Macaca mulatta: one gene and its partners. The protein of the gene in region 1 interacts with the protein of each later gene in a pairwise test. Links are inferred from orthologs where the notes say so. Each region holds a gene or a part of one and is shown in the gene's direction. Other genes may lie near its edges.

Region 1 (5,879 bases):
ATCTCAACTCTCATGATTCCCCAAAGAGAAAGAAAAACCATACTTTTATTCCAGCATCCGGTATGCCTTGTGTATACCTGTATACAAGTTTTAAAGTTGTTGGTTTCATCTCATTAAATAATAGTTAAGAGTCCTCTGAGGCAGCAGGAGGATGTGGAGAGTAGCACAGGTCAGGGTCAGGTGACCTGAGTTCTATGAAGGGTAGCAGCAATAGCAACTATTATTGGGTGCTTACATGTACCAGGCGCTATGCTAAGTGCTTTACATGTATGACTTCACTTCATGGGGCAAGGATACTCATCAGTAGTCTCATTTTACAAATGAGGAAACCGAGGCTCAAAGAGGATAAGTCACTTAGCCAAAATGTCCCAGCCAGGATTCTTTTGGGTGAGCTCCCCAAAATTTGTCTTCTAACTCCTACCCTATACTCCCTCCACTGGGAGCTGTGCGACTTTGAGCAAGAAGCTTCATCCCATTGGGCCTCGGTTTACCATTGGAAAGGACTTGTGAGCGAGGTTGAATGAGCGCAGCAGATGGCCTGTGGTTATTTAGAGCAGTGCTTCCCTGGTTGTTTGGTATCACAGCGATCATAGAAATACTTGTGTGGCCCGGTGAAATGGAGGCGGAAACTCAGTTTCTACCTTCACAGGGCCTGACTGGAGGGGGCTGAGGACGATGCGGAGGTTTCCTGTATTAAAACAGACTACCCCCCCTTCCCAACGCACAACCCCGAGCACGTGGCCGTGGGTTCCCAAGCGCCTCTCCTCCCAGGGCCATGGGCATGACCACCGAAAAGCGGGTTAGGCCGGGGAGTTCAGAACCCGGAGTGAATCGAAACTACCCCAGGTAGATGGCAGCGAAGAAAATTCTGTTCTTAGGGGAACGCAATCTTCGGACACCAGAAGTTCCCCTATGATGCTATTCTGTGGCAGCCTCGCACTTGAGCCGGATGAGAATTGTAAAAACCCAGGTTGGGAGACAGGACGGCGCGTCTTCCCGGCTCCTTTCCAGAGTTTAGACGGAGCCATGCAGACTCAGCTGGCCTTTGGGTGTAGGTGGGCAGGCCCGAGGCGCCCTCTCGAGACCCCTTCAACCTCCCGGGGGCAGCAACACCGTATCGGCTATGAATGGCGTCTCTGGAAAACTCAGGCTTGGAACAGGTAACCCCCCGGTTTCCGCAGGCCAGAAATCAGCCCCCGCAACCGAAGGACGCGCAGGCTGGGAGTGGCGGCGGGGCCGCCAGTGGCGGACCTCCACTGAGGGCGGCGGGACCCGACCGCAGGGGCTGGGCCCTGAGGCCACTATGGGGTGCGCTAGGCTAAGGTCTCCTGGGGGCAGGAGCCAGTGCGATTGTAGCTGGCCAGCAGGCTGGCCGGCCTGAGGCCTGGCAGAGACCCGAGACCCCGACCCTTACCACGCGGACTCCGTGATCCCTCTCCCAGCAGCCGCCCACCTGGGGCCCTGAGCCAATAAGAGCTCGAGGTATATATGACTCACCGTGCCTGGGCCAATCAACTTGACGCGCGCTCTTCGCCAGCACCTCGCGCGATAACCTGGCTTCCTCGGCCTTCACAATAAAAACTCTCCGCCGGAAAACGACCTCTCCCCGCCCACCGCGCCGACACCGGAAGCGAGGCGTGTCTGCGAGATCACTCCGCGCTCCGGCGGCGAAGGAAAGAACGGACTCTGATCATAGAAGTCTAGTAAAGTAGTGCACCTCTCTCGTTTCGTGAGGTCATAAGAACAAACACCTTTTCTCGTCACAGCTACGCGCTGGGCATAAACGGTTGGGGCGTCAAAGGGAGGGAAACGAGCGGGCGGGAGGAGATGGTCACGTGGCCGTGGCGGAAGGATGCGTCGGTGCTGCGTCCCCTTAGAGACGAAGTCTATAAAGGGCCGGCGGGCGGCTGCTGCGGCCATTTCTACTTCGTCCGCCCACAAATGTAGTTTGGTTTGCACGTGTGCGCCTTCCCTCCTCCCCGCCCGCAGGGTCCACGGCCACCATGGCGTATTAGGGGCAGCAGTGCCTGCGGCAGCATTGGCCTTTGCAGCGGCGGCAGCAGCACCAGGCTCTGCAGCGGCACCCCCCCCAGCGGCTTAAGCCATGGCGTGAGTACCAGGGCGGGTCGTCCAGCTGTGCTCCCTGGGCCGGCGCAGGATTTGGGTTGGTGGGGTGCGGCCTGGGGCCGGGGCGGTGCCGCCAAGGAGGAAGCGATTTTACGAGCGCCCGGGACGCGTGGTCTTTGCTTGGGTGTCCCCGAGACGCTCGCGTGCCCGGGATCGGGAAGGCGCATTCTGGTGCCAGGACTGCTTCCACAGGGGCCCTGCCGCCCTCGGACCCCGAGTCCCCCAAGGGTCCCAGGGGTCTCGGCTTTCCCCCCCGCGAAACGTGGCAAGAACCAAGATGGCGGCGGCAGGGCGGCGCCGCGGGCGTGAGTCAAGGGCGGGCGGTGGGCGGGGCGCGGCCGCCCTGGCCTTATTTGGACGCGGGGACGGAGCGCCTTCCTCTTGGTGGCCGGTGGAAGAATCGCCTGGTCTCCGTGAGCGTCCATTTTGTGGAACCTGAGCCGCAGCAGGGAGGGGCGGATGCAACTGCCCCGTTGCCGACTCTATAGATGGCTGGACTAGAGAAGTCCCGCCTCGTAAGTGGAAAGATGAAATTCTCAGACCAGCTAACCTCTAATGGGAGTTGGCTTCTGATTCCCATTCAGGCTTCTCACGGCATTCAGCAGCAGCGTTGCTGTAACCGACAAAGACATCTTCGAATTAAGCACATTCCTCGATTCCAGCAAAGCACCGCAACATGACCGAAATGAGCTTCCTGAGCAGCGAGGTGTTGGTGGGGGACTTGATGTCCCCCTTCGACCAGTCGGGTTTGGGGGCTGAAGAAAGCCTAGGTCTCTTAGATGACTACCTGGAGGTGGCCAAGCACTTCAAACCTCATGGGTTCTCCAGCGACAAGGCTAAGGCGGGCTCCTCCGAATGGCTGGCTGTGGATGGGTTGGTCAGTCCCTCCAACAACGGCAAGGGTGAGTGGGCCACCACCACATCGTCTGGGTGGGATCTAGGGTTAGGGGCCTGTTATCTTTGTATCTGACTCACTTGGCCCTGTCATTCAAATCTTTTGCAGAGGATGCCTTCTCCGGGACAGATTGGATGTTGGAGAAAATGGATTTGAAGGAGTTCGACTTTGATGCCCTGTTGGGTATAGATGACCTGGAAACCATGCCAGATGACCTTTTGACCACGTTGGATGACACGTGTGATCTCTTTGCCCCCCTAGTCCAGGAGACTAACAAGGAGCCCCCACAGACGGTGAACCCAATTGGCCATCTCCCAGAAAGTTTAACAAAACCCGACCAGGTTGCCCCCTTCACCTTCTTGCAACCTCTTCCCCTTTCCCCAGGGGTCCTGTCCTCCACTCCAGATCATTCCTTTAGTTTAGAGCTGGGCAGTGAAGTGGATATCACTGAAGGAGATAGGAAGCCAGATGCCACTGCTTATGTTGCCATGATCCCTCCGTGCATAAAGGAGGAAGACACCCCCTCAGATAATGATAGTGGCATCTGTATGAGCCCGGAGTCCTATCTGGGCTCTCCTCAGCATAGCCCGTCTACCAGGGGCTCTCCAAATAGGAGCCTCCCATCTCCAGGTGTTCTCTGTGGCTCTGCCCGCCCCAAACCTTACGACCCTCCTGGAGAGAAGATGGTAGAAGCAAAAGTAAAGGGTGAGAAACTGGATAAGAAGCTGAAAAAAATGGAGCAAAACAAGACAGCAGCCACTAGGTACCGCCAGAAGAAGAGGGCGGAGCAGGAGGCCCTCACTGGCGAGTGCAAAGAGCTGGAAAAGAAGAATGAGGCTTTAAAAGAGAGGGCGGATTCCCTGGCCAAGGAGATCCAGTACCTGAAAGATTTGATAGAAGAGGTCCGCAAGGCAAGGGGGAAGAAAAGGGTCCCCTAGTTGAGGGTAGTCAGGAGCGTCAGTGTGCTTGTACATAGAGTCTCTGCTGTTGCTGTGTGTTGGAATAAATTATTTTGTAGGGAAAGTACTTGTGTGAATTCCTTTTCTGGCAAATTAGCCGAGTGAGGCGCCAACCACGCATCCCAAACTGGTTATAACATTCCTTGTGAGATCTGGGGAGGAGGGCAGTCCAGGACTGAAGATGGGTACCCAGAGTGGGAACTGCTCGCCCTGCTAGGTGTAAGCCACGATGTCTGATGACTCATGGGGCCATACAGCCGGATAGTTGGCCAACTGTAGCAAGTTGGGTCCTTTACCCAGAGGTGAGTTCGCTGGTTGTGTAGGGAGGAGGCTGGAGCTCTCTGAGAGGTTGGGAGGGAGGGACAGCCTGGGCCTCTTACCTATTTATTCAAGAGGGCTTCATGCCAACAGCTGTCGCCTGAAACCCTGGATAAGCTTGCACAGTCCTTGAGATAAGCACACAAGATTAGTTTTCACTTGTTACCCTGAGTTCTGTAGAAACGTGTTCCTGAAGAAAGAAATGGCTCCTTTTCGGAATTGATGCTGAAGCAGGACAGGAGCTGAGGGTTGGCCTCCGTTTCTCCTTATGGGGTGGAAGGATGACATCCTGCACAGGTTCTGGCTAGAGCTGGGCACAAAGGCTACAGTTCCTGTGAAGGCTGTTGTGCCTGTTGCTACCTAAATAGAAGGCCTGGCATCATGCTAGGATGGATCAGCGCCTAGAAACCACGCCTCCTCACCGCAGCTTCTTCCTGGCAAGCTGGCGGGGAGACCTCGCCTTTCCAGGCAGGCGATGTCTTTTGTGTTGCGGATGAGTGCTTGATTTTGTGTTGCGGATGAGTGCTTGAATGCAAGGATCAGCGTATCCTGGGTAGGTCTGTCTTTCCTCTTGTGTCCTTCAGGATCACAGTTTTCCTTCTGTGGAAGGTGGTGTAGACTGGGTGTGCCCGGGGAATGGCTGGGAGGACAGTGAGGGTGAGTGCGCCCAGGCACTGCTGTAACTGAGCACAGTACGTGTGTTCACCCCGTCCCCGAAGCACACCCAGGAGGCAGACGCCACACTCAGGAGGATTTTTTTTTTTTTTTTTTTTTTTTTTTTTTTTGAGACAGGGTCTCTCCCTGTTGACCAGGCTGGAATGCAATGGTGCAATCTCGGCTCACCACAACCTCCACCTCCTGGATTCAAACGATTCTCATGCCTCAGCCTCCCGAGTAGCTGGGATTACAGGTGCTCGCCACCATGCCCAGCTAATTTTTGTATTTTTAGTAGAGACGGGGTTTCACCATGTTGGCCAGGCTAGTCTCGAACTCCTGACTTCCTGATCCACCCACCTTGGCCTCCCCAAAGTGCTAGGATTACAAGCATGAGCCACCGCGCCTGGCCTTTTTTTTTTTTTTTTTTTTTTTTTTCTTTTTAGAGATTGAGCCTATTCCCCAGGCTGGAGTGCAGTGGTGCAATCTTGGCTCACTGCAACCCCTGCCTCCCAGTTTCAAGCGATTCTCCTGCCTCAGCCTCCCGAGTAGCTGGCATTACAGACGACTGCCACCATGCCCAGCTAATTTTTGTATTTTTAGTGGGGATGGGGTTTGTCATGTTGGCCAGGCTGGTCTCGAACTCCTGACCTCAGGTGATCCGCCCGTCTCGGCCTCTTAAAGTGCTGGGATTACAGGTGTGAGCCACCACGCCCAGCTCACCCAGGAGGATTTTGAGCAAAGAGGTAGAGCTGGAATTTGAAGCCAGGACTCGGGCTCCAGTCTGGGCTCTTCATTTTGCCTCTTGAGCTGGAAACAAATGGCCCGTCATGACCTTTCCGGTGCCCAGTATAGACGGTCACCTGAGAGCCAACTGTTGACGGAATGTATGCAACTGCTTGTGGAGAAGTTGCCCGAGGCACCGC
Region 2 (6,073 bases), on another chromosome or scaffold:
GATCAAACAATAAACGCGTTTCCCACCCTGAGCACTCGAGGTTTGTTTTTAGAGACGGCATCTCAGACCCTCTTTGGTGGCTGCCTTGCAGCAGGGAGACCTCAGCTTGCCTGGCTGGGGAATGGGAAGGTTGGCCTGCCTTGGGGTTATCCCCTCCTCAGCTCCTGAACACCTGGGTCATCTGGGAAGAATGTTTTTAAGCTGAAACAATTTTAAAACCACAACCTCCTATCACAAACACATTTTATATGGTAATAGAGTACACAGATATGCAAAATATATGTGAACCAAGTTTCCTTCCCTTTTTTTTTTTTTTTTTTTTAGATGGAGTTTCGCTCTTGTCACCCAGGCTAGAGTGTAATGGCAAGATCTTGGCTCACTGCAGCCTTTACATCCTGGGTTCAAGCGATTCTCCTGCTTCAGCCCCCCAAGTAATTAGGGTTACAAGCATGTGCCACCATGCCCGGCTAATTTTGTACCTTTAGTAGAGATGGGTTTCACTACGTTGGCCAGGCTGGTCTCGAACTCCTGACCTCAGGTGATCCACACACCTCAGCCTCCCTCAGGACCCTGGGCCTGGAAACAAAAGTTTCTTTACCATAGTTAGCTTTAGTATGTGTAGATTTTTTTTCATTAGCTATTATTATTTGAGATGGAGTCTCGCAGTGTCGCCCAGGCTGGAGCAGTGGTGCAATCTCCACTCACTGCAACCTCCACCTCCCTGGTTCAAGCGATTCTCCTGCCTCAGCCTCCTGAGTAGCTGGGATTACAGGCACGCACCACCACGCCCAGCTACATATTTTTTTAAACTGCTGATTTCATCCTATTCTATTGAATTCTCCACCCATGAACCTATAGTTTGGAAAAGACTAATCTAGGGCAGGTGGCTCCCCCTGGAATTTCTGGACCAGGCTGCAGTTTATTTGTAAAGTGAAGTGGGGAGGGGAGGATCATGGGTACAGCTTTGCAGGCGGTGCAGACGTTTAGATTCTCCCTCCATCGGGTTAAGACCTTGCTCTCCTAAGGGCTGGCCAGAGTCCAGAGCATGGATGCTTCTGGTGAACAGGAGAGGCAGGTGGAGCTGAGCCTGAAGCTAAATAAACATCTGCTTATTAATTCATTTTTCTTGCCTGTCTGTGCCAGGCACTGTGCTAGGCCTCATTTGCTCTTCCGACCTCTTTTTTTTGGGAGGAAGAACAAATCTTCCGTTCGTACTCCCCAGAGTGGGAAAGGAAAGAGCCTCCCAGAGGTTGCGATCATACCCCACCATCTGACCTCAAATAATACCAGCAACGCTCCTCTCTCAAGCCCTGACTATGGCCAGGTGCTGGGCTGAGCTGTGTGTCCCATCACTGTGTCCTCACAAGAAATGTAGAGGGGCCTGTAATTTCCCCATTTTACAGGTGAGTTAACAGGCTGGGGAGGAGCAGGAACAGTCAGGACTGGAATCTAGCTCTGTTCCAAAGCCAGCTCTTAATTACCAACATGGGGGGGTGGTGGCGTGTTCCTGCCCCTCGTTTTTCTGGAGAGGGGTAACTCCCCCCATTTTGGCCCCCACATCCCTGAGAACCTTGGGGTCTGGCTGTAGGAGGTGGGGGAGCTCTGGGGGGTCTGCGCTGGCTAGTTCCTGAGATCGTTAAAAGTAGATTCTCCTTTCGCTCCAACTTTCCCGGTGTCTCACACACTCCTGCCTTCTCCTGGGCCCACTGGGCCCACCGCCACCCAACCCGGGAACCCCCGGAGGCTCGCCAGCTCTCCAGAATGGGAATTTCTTGACGTTCCCTGCCTGAGCTTCGGGGAGGGCGGGGGAGTGCCGTAAGGGGCTATCGCGCAAGTGTAGACCCTCTGCTTCTGCCGCAAACGGCGGGCCTCACCTGGACCAGGGGACTCTCCAACGAGGGGCGCTAGTCTGGCCCGACTGGGCGAATCCCCGCGTCCGTACCCGTTCCGTCGCTCAGTTCCACGACTCGCTCCCCTGCCGCCCCGCCTGTTCGCGGGTGGGTGGGCGCTTCCCTCGGCTTCCCGTGACACTTTGCAGACGCTCCCCGGCGCCGGGCATGGGCGCCGCCGCCGTCGGTCCCCGAGTCGGATTCCGCGCGCGGGTGGGTGAGCGCGGGGGGCCTCGGCCCCTCGGACCCCGGGCACCCGCGGGCGGGGGATGGTGACCGTATTTGCACCCCCGCCCTGATGCATTCCCCCGCTGGGATCTTTCCACGACTGCTCCCCCTCCCACCCCCGGGACAAAGGGCGGGGGCGGCGCATCCCCACGCGTGACCTTTCCCCGTACTGCGCACGCGCCCAGCCCCCACCACCGGGGGAGGGTCCGCACGCCCACGCGAGTGCGGGGGAGGGGTGTGGGGCCCCGGAGGTAGGGGAGGCAGCGCGCACGGGCTGGACCTCCTCCTACCCTGGGAAGTTGGGGCAGTTTCCCTCTGCACCTGCCTCTTCCTTAGGCCTGGCGGTGGCCCGCGATGAGAGTCCTTCCCCTTCAGGCCAGGTGTCCCTGTCAGGCGACCCCTTGGGGCACCCAGCAATTTAGGGCTTCAGCTTCCTTTTCCTTCGATACCCAGGAGCCCACGTCCCCAGCTCACTTCTCCCCTAGGACCTCGGTGGCTGGGCCCCCTGTCCCTGACTCTGGGAACCCAGGAGTTTGAAGCCCAGGCGTGTTTTGCCTCAGTCCTGGGGTCTGGGCTCCCTCCTCCCTCAGACCAGGGATCCAGGCCAGAAGGTCCTTCCTGTCTCACTTCACCTCCCCCAGGATGGACCCTCGAGTCCATCCGCGTCCCTCCATTTGTGGCTGCTGTTTCTGTCCAGTGCCCCTGAGGCCCTCGGCTGCTGGGGTCCGCAGGAAGCCACGCCATGAATGACCGGAGCAGCCGGAGGCGAACAAGTGAGGAAGCTGGGTCCCCTTCCCTACCCTGGGTCCCGGTGCGGTCGGTCGGCTCCAGGCTGCCGTGGTTGGGGGGTGGTCTGAGGGGCCCGGGACTTCTCTGGGGTGACCCGGGGCCTCTCCTCTCCAGTGAAGGACGATGAGACCTTCGAGATCTCCATCCCCTTCGACGAGGCGCCCCACCTAGACTCACAGATCTTTTACAGTCTGAGCCCCTCTCGGGGAAACTTCGAGGGTGAGCCGAGGGGGCGTGGAGGGACTGGAGTCAGCTGGGAAGCCAGGCCGAGTCCCAGGGTGTGACCTGGTCCCCCCACCCTCGCTGTGTCCCTAGAGCCTCCGGAGGCTGCGTCCCCCGCCCTGGCTTTGATGAACAGCGTCAAGGCCCAGCTGCACATGGCTCTGGAGAGGAACTCCTGGCTGCAGAAGCGCATCGAGGACCTGGAGGAAGAGAGGGACTTCCTGCGGTGCCAGCTGGACAAATTCATCTCTTCTGCTCGGATGGAGGCAGGTATGTGTGGGGTGCTCTGATCCACCTGCCTCCCTGTCCCGCTACTGGGTACCCGCTCACCCAGACTCGAGGCTCCACAGTTTGCCTGGCTGGGTGGGACCTGCCATGTTGGCCCTCTCTGCTAGTCCCCTGCCTGTTTTGGGCCCCCAGGCCCAGCTTCCTCTTCACTTGATGTCCAGGACCTCATCCCCATGAACTGTCTACTGGGGCCTGTCCTCCTGCTTTTTCCTTCAGCTCCCCAAATCCCATCAGCCTCCAGTGCCCTGCCATCTGCTTCCTTGGCCTATGGTGACTTCAGGACCCTGGAACCTGAGAGTCCCTCTCTTCTGACTCCTAGGGGGACCTTCCTTCATCTCTTTGGCCGAGAGGCCCACCCTAGTCCTTTGGGTTTCCTCAGGGGGCCCCTGATCCTCTTCCTGGCCCTGTCTTCTCCAAGATCCAAGAGTCCAGCCATCCAGCCTCCTCCTGTCCCCCCCCGTCCCCGTGTGACACCAGGGGCCATCTTCCCACCCACCCTGTCCCATCCTTGGTTAATGAGTTCTCCTTCCTCATGAAAGACATTAAGGCTCTTCCTGTGTGGGCCTTTTTGGGTGGGGACCCCAGCAGGTGCTGTTCCTCAAACCCTGCCCCAGGTTCCTGGGCAGTCCCCGCCCACATACCTTGCTCTGCTATAATTCATGGCCAGAAGCAGCCGGGAGAGCTCCCATAGCAGCCCCCAGCCCCAGCCAGTTCACAGCTAGCATCTTCTCTTGACTGGTGGGACCCTGTGTCCTGCTTAACACATTTTGGACCCCAGCCGCATCCTCTTCCCCAGATGGTCAGGCCCTTTGCCAGACAGCCCATGTCCTGGAGAACCCACACTTTACCCCACCTACCCTCAGCTCGGCCTTGCTAGCTCCTTGGCTGAGAAGACCCCTCAAAAACTCCCACATCTCTCTTTGTGAATTCAACCTTTTCCCTCAAAAACTTGGGCAAGGGGCCTATGGTCTCGTGGTGTCTGTTACTGGGAACCCAGCATCTGGGGATCTGGCCTTCCCTCTGCTCTGGAACAAACCGCCTCTGACTGCCCTTGCCTGCCACTGTCTCCTCCCACTGATGGCTCCATGCTGGGTGACTGACTCCTTTGCACAGATGGTTTGGTCCTGCGGCCTCGGCACTTTCCCAGTGGGGACCCTGGCACCAGACCCCTCTCCTAAGCCGCCTTCTAGAGGACCCTGTGTCTGGGCCTCCGCCAGCCAGCTCCCTCTGTCTAGATGGAGGTGGAACTCATCCTGCTGGACCCAGGACCCCTGATTTCTCTCAGGGTCTGACCCCCCGACTCCAGCCAAGGCCTGGCCTGCCTCCTGGGTTTACAGAGGCCACTCTCCGGAGGTCCCACCCAGTCCCCAGAAATCTCTCCCTCCCCTGTGGGAACCGCATATACTCACAGGGGTCCTGAGGTCCCTGGTCGGCTGCCTCCCCAAGACCTCTTGCCAACCCAAGCCTCTGAGAAAATGCTGCACCCATTACTACCTCCCACAGACCCCAGCAGGCTCTACTCAGCCACCAGCATCTCTACTGTCCTCCCTGTCCGTTTCTTTAGGGGACCAGCCCAGGTTGGGGGATCCAGTACTGGGGACTGCAGCCTCTCTCAGTCCCAGGACCTGTGATGGGATGTCTGGTCCCATAGTTCACGTGTGTGTCTCTCTCCCCAGAGGACCACTGCCGGATGAAGCCTGGGCCCAGGCGGATGGAGGGGGACAGCCGGGGTGGGGCTGGGGGCGAGGCCTCGGACCCTGAGTCAGCAGCCTCCTCCCTCAGTGGAGCCTCCGAAGAAGGCAGCGCCAGCGAGAGGAGGCGGCAGAAGCAGAGGGGAGGTGCTAGTCGGAGGCGCTTTGGGAAGCCCAAGGCCCGGGAGAGGCAGCGAGGTGGGTGAGGTGCATGGCGCGGGCGCTGAGGGGCCTGGGCTGCTGAATTGCTGTGTGTCCTTCCCAGAGGCCCTCCTTTCTCTCCAAGCCCCTCCAGCTTTGCTGGAGAAAGACCCACCGGGTTCTGTCTCTCCCTCCTCCCTTGTAATCCTGGGATTACAAGGCGTGAGCCATAGCACCTGGCCTGTCCTGGGTCTACTTTAAGTTTTGGTGAACCCTCGAGGGCAGGGCCACCTTGGGCACCTCCTTAACCTTCATCGGTAAGAAGGAGGTGCGCAGTAGGACCTACCTCGGGGCGGGTGAGGCTTGAATAAGTGAATTCACCTGAGGCAGGGAGGTGAGGGTGATGGCTGGGCGTGGTGGAGAGGCGGGCGGGGGGGGGGGGTGTTGTTGCTGGGACCGCGTTGGTTGAACCCGGCCTCTCGGCTCATGTTCTCTCCTCACCCCCCTTCCTGGGCCTGCCTCTTCCCATTTCCCACTGGTCCAAGTACTGGCTGCGCTTCTTCCCCTCCTCTCCGCCCCTCCCTTCCCTGTTCTCCGTATCCTCCTGCACCGCCCGTGCCTCTGCTCGCCGGGATCCTTCCTTCCCATGGCCGTTTCCCTTCCCGTGTCCGCCCCCTCGGTCTTGGCCCCTGCTCCTCACTTCCGTGTCCCCGCCTCCGCCCCGCAGTGAAGGACGCCGACGGGGTCCTCTGCCGGTACAAGAAGATCCTGGGCACCTTCCAGAAGCTCAAGAGCATGTCGCGGGCCTTCGAGCACCACCGCGTG
Region 3 (6,227 bases), on another chromosome or scaffold:
TGAAATAGTAAAACCACTGCCAGTATTATCTACTTCACCTGGTTCTGAATAATTCCAGGAAGGTAGAAACTGAAAACCAGTCTTGTTAAAGAGTTAGAAAGACTGTAAATGCGTAAGAGGAAAGAAAAAAACAAAACCAAACCATTTATCTATCCTCTTTGAACCCGTTTCACAATATTCCTGATTTCAAATACTTGAAGTTTTCTCTGGGCAATAATTAATGTTTAAATAATTGTTTTTAATGTAAGACATAACACATACGCATTGCAGATTTAAAGCATACTTGGAAGTAGCAAGGAAAAAGATAAAAATCATTGATTCCACAGCATTTAATATATTGGTAACTATCCTTCAATTTTTTTCTGGGCACATGTTTTTATAAAATGAGCCAATACTATACAAACGTTTTTGTAACTTTTTAAAATTTGTACTATTTTGTGAGTACGTGAAAAAGAAATTTGTAAAGATTAAAAGATCATAGCATGTTGTGGTATTACACACTGTTGAAGGGCGCCATCTGTGGCGTGGTGGCTGTGCTTTAGTGGGAAGAAGTTCTCTTGCGGTTCCCGTTTTTCTCCCAGCTCTGGGTAGGCAATACTGACCACTCTCCGACCTAAAGGGACTTCTCCGTTTGCCCTTGACGGAGACACGTGGGAGTTCAGAGGAGAGCGTTCAGGGTGACTGCGAACACGAGCTCCCGGCGCTGTCCACATCTCCCCTGGGCAGGGCCCACTGCCCCCAGCCCGGGAGGGGAGCAAGGGCGGGAGGGCAGTTGGCAGTGGCACGGCCTGGGTCCAAACCTTTAGCCCCCCACCCCGGCTGGCGCCACTCTCGGGCGGTAAAGTGAGATAAAAGCAGGGCAAGGTTCTGTAACTCCAAATCAGGGAGGCGCAGCTCCTACACCAACGCCTTTCCGGGGCTCCGGGTGTGTTTGTTCCAACTGTTTAAACTGTTTCAAAGCGTCCGAACTCCAGCGACCTTCGCAAATAACTCTTTATCTCGCGGGCTAGAGCGCTGCCCTTATTTGCGGGGGAGGGCAACTGAACGCCGGCACCGGGGCGCTAACTGTGGCCTCCTCTCGATCCCCCGCCTGCTGGGACCCCAGCTGGCAGTCCCTTCCCGCCCCCGGACCGCGAGCTTCTTGCGTCAGCCCAGGCGCGGGTGGGGGATTTTCGGAAGCTCAGCCCGCGCGGCCGGCGGGGGAAGGAAGGGCCCAGGCTCTTGCCCCGCCCTTCTGGGGCGGGAGGCGGAGCGGGGCAGGGGCCCGCCGGCGTGTCGCCGATCAGCGAGTGCCGGGGAGCCCGGAGGAGCCACCGACGCCGCTGCCGCCACCAGAGCCGCCCTGTCCGCGCCGCGCCTTGGCAGCCGGAACGGGGCCGCCGTCGGGGAGCCCCAACACACGGTCCCCAGCTCAGCATGATGGAGTTGGAGCTGCCGCCGCCGGGACTCCCGTCCCAGCAGGTGCTGCCTCGGCCCTCTGGGCCCTGCGGTGGTGCCGGGACGGGGGCGGGGGAGCTAGGGAACCGCGGCCCGGGAGGGATAGCCGCAGCCGGCTTCCTCCACGTCCGGCCAGAGCCAGGACCGCAGCGCTGGCTGGAGCCGCCGCGCTTGCGCTGGGGCAGGGTGGGGAGGGGCAGCGGGGACGCGGCCGGGTGGTCCGACCGACCACGAGCCCGAGGGCGAACGGGTGGGAAGTTGCGGGAAGGTCTGGGGACTGAGCCCGCGGGCGTGGGCAGTGGTGGGCGAATCCAGCCGCGTCCCCGGTCCCCAGAGCTGGGCTTCGGAGCCCCTAAGTTTGAGCGGCCCGGCGGGCGGCGGGGCAAGAGGGGCGGACGCTGGCCGTCTGAGCCGGCGCGGCCCGGCCCTTCCGGGGCTGCGCGGCTCCCCCGCCTCAGAGCCGGCAAAAATGTGCCTAGTCACGGGGCCACTCTCGGGGGAACTGAGGTCGCCTTCGTGCTGGGACCCAGAGCCCCTTCGCCGCGCCCCAAGACCTCCGTGTGTGCGGGCTGCGGCGCGCTCACACCGCTGGGCCGTCTGTGGGCGCTGCTTTGCGAAGTCATCCATCTGTCGGATCACTCTCTGGCAGCCTTGAGCTTTCTTGAAAGCTCAACCCCGGGACGAGGGAGGAGCGCCTGAAGTGCCCAGCGGGCCCAGAAGCCCCGACGTGTGGCGGCTGAGCCGGGCCCCGCGCACTTTCTCGGCCGGGGAGGGGTTCGGGCCCGGGCACCCGGAGTTGGCCTCTCGCAACGCCGCGGGAAAGTGCGGGCGAGGGCAGCGGACTCTGAGGCCGGAGTCGGCGGCACCCGGGGCGTCTAGTTCGGACGCGGTGCCCCCTGGTGGCGCGCACCGCGCGCGTGGCTTTGGCCTCTGTGACAGCGGTCTGTTGGCCGTCACAGCAGCCCTCGGTTGGCCCTTTCCTGCTTTATAGCGTGCAAACCTCGCCGCGCCAGGGCCAAGGGACAAGTTGGAGCTGTTGATCTGTTGCGCAATTGTTATTTTCCCCAGAGCGGCTTTGTCTTTGGATTTAGCGTTTCAGAATTGCAATTCCAAAATGTGTAAGACAGGAGATTCTCTTCTGTGCTGTCAAGGGTAAGAGTTGCGAGTGTAGATTAGAATTTCTATTGCTTTTAGTTTGTTAATAATTTTTTGCTTTCAGCTGTTATTTCTTCCCTGAGTACTTTATATATTTTTCCTTTTCAGTTGAGAATTTGCCTCAGTTTCTTAACATGTCCACCCTCTTTTGCAGGGGCAGAGAGTGGAACGCTTGCGTTTCAAAACACATGCTAATTTCTGTAAATTGTTATAAAAGTGAAAAGAAGTTTCAGCTCATCCTTGTAGAAACTTTAAAAGTAGATATTTATATTTCTAATTTCTTTTGTAAATGAATTTTAGGAAAAAAATTGGAATTCAAGGAAACGTGTACTTGATGTACGGTAAATTCGTTTATGCTGTTAAATGTAAAGTCTTAGGTTAATTCCAAAGATCTATTGTAAAGTTTTAAGTTATAGACAATGTATTAATTGTGCCTTTTTTTCCCCCTTTAAAGTTGTCTTGAACTTTTCCCCAATCTTGATTGGGATTATATTCTTCTGGTTCCAACTAGGGAAGAAGTAAATTGTACTTTACGATTTATTTAATAGCTGCTGTTCAAGAGTTATCTATAGGAATGCTTGTTTGACCGAAGGATATATGATAAAAATGAACTTTGGTTTTTCTAATTTCCCGAATTGTCTACAACCCTCTATTAAATTTTTCTTTCTTTGCTGTGTAATATAACATTCCATATACAAAAATGCATAAAACATATGTACTGCATTAAGTGTGTATTTTTCAATTACGTTTGATAAAAATAACTGCTTTTCTGCCTTTGTAATCAGATATCGATTTGCATATTTGAAAACAGAAAAAGAACAAGAAAATTTAGAATTGATTTCGTTTATGATTCATATTAGATTGTTGTCATCCATAAAGATTTGAACTGAGTCAAACATTTTCTTGATCTTTTGTCAAAAAAACTCTCCAGGTGTGAAGTGGTAGTAGGATGTAGTTTTTCACCTTCTGTGCAGAGGATGTGTTGATAAACAGGGCAGTAAGGAGAGCCTTAGATTCAGTATCCCCATTAGGTGGAAGGAACATCCATTACTCTTTTCAAGGGTGTCTTGGAGAGATAAAGTACTTTCCTGGATGAGGGATGAAGCTGATATTGAAATAGACCGATGAGATTATGTTTAAGTCAAACAAAAGAAAAATAGGACAGGCCTCTCATCTCCTGAATGAATGTTAAGCAAAGACCAACTTGACTTTTTAGATATGTGAAAAATCTCTTGAGAGGTTGTGGAAGCAGCATGTAGGAGGATAAATGCATAACTCACATCAGTCTTTTCCGCATTAAAAATAACTTGGGCCATTTTGAAATCTTTCTTTCTTGCCCTGGGTTGTTATAAGCAACGTTGGGGGAAAACCGACTCTGTCTTTAGGATTACCAGGAAAAGTTGAAAGCCAAATGCATCATTTTTCTTAAGATTTGTTTCTATTGAGGATAAATCATGTTTAACAAAGCTGCGTGAAAAAAAGGAACACAACAAGTACATTTTTTTTTCTGGGAATTTCCTCTGTCCTGACTGAAGACATTAAAAGGGGGTTTTGTGTCAGTATTTCCTCCTTAACTGTTCCTTGAACGTGGGTTATCTTTTCAGTATGCAGGAAGAATTTGGCACTAAGATAATAATAGATAAGTTACTGGGCACTTCCCTGGGTCCAAACATAATTGCTTCACATGCATAATTTTACAGTAACCTCACGGGAAATACTATTATCCCTGGTTTCCAGGTTGGGAAAACCAGAGATAATAGTTAGATCAGGCATTAGGTTAGGAAAGAGGCACAGAGAAAGGCCAAGACCTGCTAAGGTGACCAAACTATTGAGTGGCCAAGGTAGCATTCAAACAGGTTTGACTCCTGGGGGCTCCTAATCACCACTTCCAGACTACCAAAACTCCTTAAACTTTAAATAGGAAGAAAAACTCACACTTCAAAAGGTGAGTAAGTTGAGATTTGCCTATTCTGGGGGAAGGAGAGGCTAGAATGTAAAAGATTGATGTTTGCAGCTTTTCCATTTAGCAAGACACTTAATCACTGTATGACTGGGGGAGGTGGACCTTGTTAAATGCTGGGAGAGTGAATACAACCCATCAATGGGATTACCCACTGTGGTCCTTTTCAGGAAGACACAGAAGCCTCGGTGGGTTCAATTTAGAGAGGCAGGACTGTTTTTTTGTTTTGTTTTGTTTTGTTTTGTTTTTGAGATGGAATCTTGTTCTGTTGCCCAGGCTGGAATGCAGTGGCCTAATCTTGGCTCACTGCAACCTCCACTTCCCGGGTTCAAGTGATTCTACTGCTTCAGCCTCCAGAGTAGCTGGGATTATAGGCACTCACCTCCCGGATAATTTTTTGTATTTTTCGTAGAGATGGGGTTTCACCATGTTGGCCAGGCTGGGCTGGTCTCGAACTCCTGACCTCAGGTGATCCACCCGCCGCGGCCTCCCAAAGTGTTGGGATTACAGGTGTGAACCACTGCGCCAGCCTGTTTCTTAATATAATAAGTTTTTTAAATTCCTGGGGTCTTGGCAATGTCTAAGATTCTGCCTCACAGTTTTCAGGAACTGTTTCCCTTTGTTCTTAATTAAATCTCTTTGCTACTGGAGTCTTTGCCTTTGTTCGCCTTGCTAGTTGGTACATTTCTTCTGTTCCATTGGCGCTTTTTGTTTTGAAGTAGTGCTCAAAAATAAGTTTGGTAGTAAGAATATGGTGAAGACTGTGACGGACAGGGTTAAACCAGGTTGAAGGAAAGAGCAGAATGGGGAAAATTTGAGTTGAAAACAGCTAGCAGAAACCTGATGGCGCAAATTCAACCCTAATCTCATGTTTTGGCACTTTTGAACTATAGCAAGCATAAGGGCTCAAGTCTTATCTAGTTGAAGCTAACTTGGGTCTTTGAGAATAGTACATCTCAAAATTAAACACTTTCTTAGTCCTTATTGTTAAACAAGTTGTTTTTGGAATTATTGTCTTATTTGTCTGAATTAAGTGTGCTGCAGGACTTATAGGATCTGATGGATGATTTGCCTAAAAGTTAGTCCAGGTCAGCCTTAGGGCATTTAAGTGCTTGGTCCAGCCACTTTCTGAAAGTTGACTGAAATATGTTGCACACCAGGGTAGAGGAGGACAAGTTTACTAGATGTCATTTTTAACCTGCTTGTCTTCATCTCTGACTGTAGAAATGTTTATTCATTGTAAGTTTGCCATAAATAGAGAACAGAGTTTATTTTTTTGATCATTTAATTTCTAGGAGCTATTGAAATTTCACTGCTACCTGCTTTTAAATAAGCACCAACAAACATTTATTAAAAGGGCTTTAAGGTATAGGCCAAGATTTATTCAATTGCTAATGGTATGTTTTCTGTAAATGAAAGCAAAAATATGTTCAAGTATATAATATTAAATATTAACATTCAGAAACTGTTGGAGAAATATATATGGCTTTCTTATACCAGACTATACCCCAGACATGAAAACAAGACTGTTGAACAACATCCTGTGCTACTTAAAGTTTGAGCCTTCTATGTGTCAGCTTCTGCCATAATAACTTTGAACTATGACTATTAAGTATATTAAGAACTTTGAGTAGGGGAGGCACTTTTAATCATTTGTTTTTATGGCATATGTACT

The links.
Region 2: the proteins of ATF4 (region 1) and CCDC106 interact in binary tests that used the Homo sapiens proteins (3 or more experiments, as listed by UniProt). The link is inferred for Macaca mulatta from reciprocal best matches to the Homo sapiens genes ATF4 and CCDC106.
Region 3: the proteins of ATF4 (region 1) and NFE2L2 interact in binary tests that used the Homo sapiens proteins (3 or more experiments, as listed by UniProt). The link is inferred for Macaca mulatta from reciprocal best matches to the Homo sapiens genes ATF4 and NFE2L2.

What each region holds. Positions count from the first base shown.
Region 1 is NC_133415.1:12,020,021-12,025,899, reverse strand, and holds ATF4 (cyclic AMP-dependent transcription factor ATF-4), read left to right. Parts: upstream 1-2,129; 5' UTR 2,130-2,803; coding exon 2,804-3,029; intron 3,030-3,130; coding exon 3,131-3,960; 3' UTR 3,961-4,043; downstream 4,044-5,879. UniProt on the Homo sapiens protein: Transcription factor that binds the cAMP response element (CRE) (consensus: 5'-GTGACGT[AC][AG]-3') and displays two biological functions, as regulator of metabolic and redox processes under normal cellular conditions, and as master transcription factor during integrated stress response (ISR).
Region 2 is NC_133424.1:67,996,767-68,002,839, forward strand, and holds the start of CCDC106 (coiled-coil domain-containing protein 106), read left to right. Parts: upstream 1-1,849; 5' UTR 1,850-2,102; exon of another isoform or gene 2,103-2,758; 5' UTR 2,759-2,859; coding exon 2,860-2,890; intron 2,891-3,020; coding exon 3,021-3,125; intron 3,126-3,221; coding exon 3,222-3,398; intron 3,399-5,092; coding exon 5,093-5,305; intron 5,306-5,975; coding exon 5,976-6,073. UniProt on the Homo sapiens protein: Promotes the degradation of p53/TP53 protein and inhibits its transactivity.
Region 3 is NC_133417.1:82,176,440-82,182,666, reverse strand, and holds the start of NFE2L2 (nuclear factor erythroid 2-related factor 2), read left to right. Parts: upstream 1-2,454; 5' UTR 2,455-2,589; intron 2,590-4,201; exon of another isoform or gene 4,202-4,537; intron 4,538-6,227.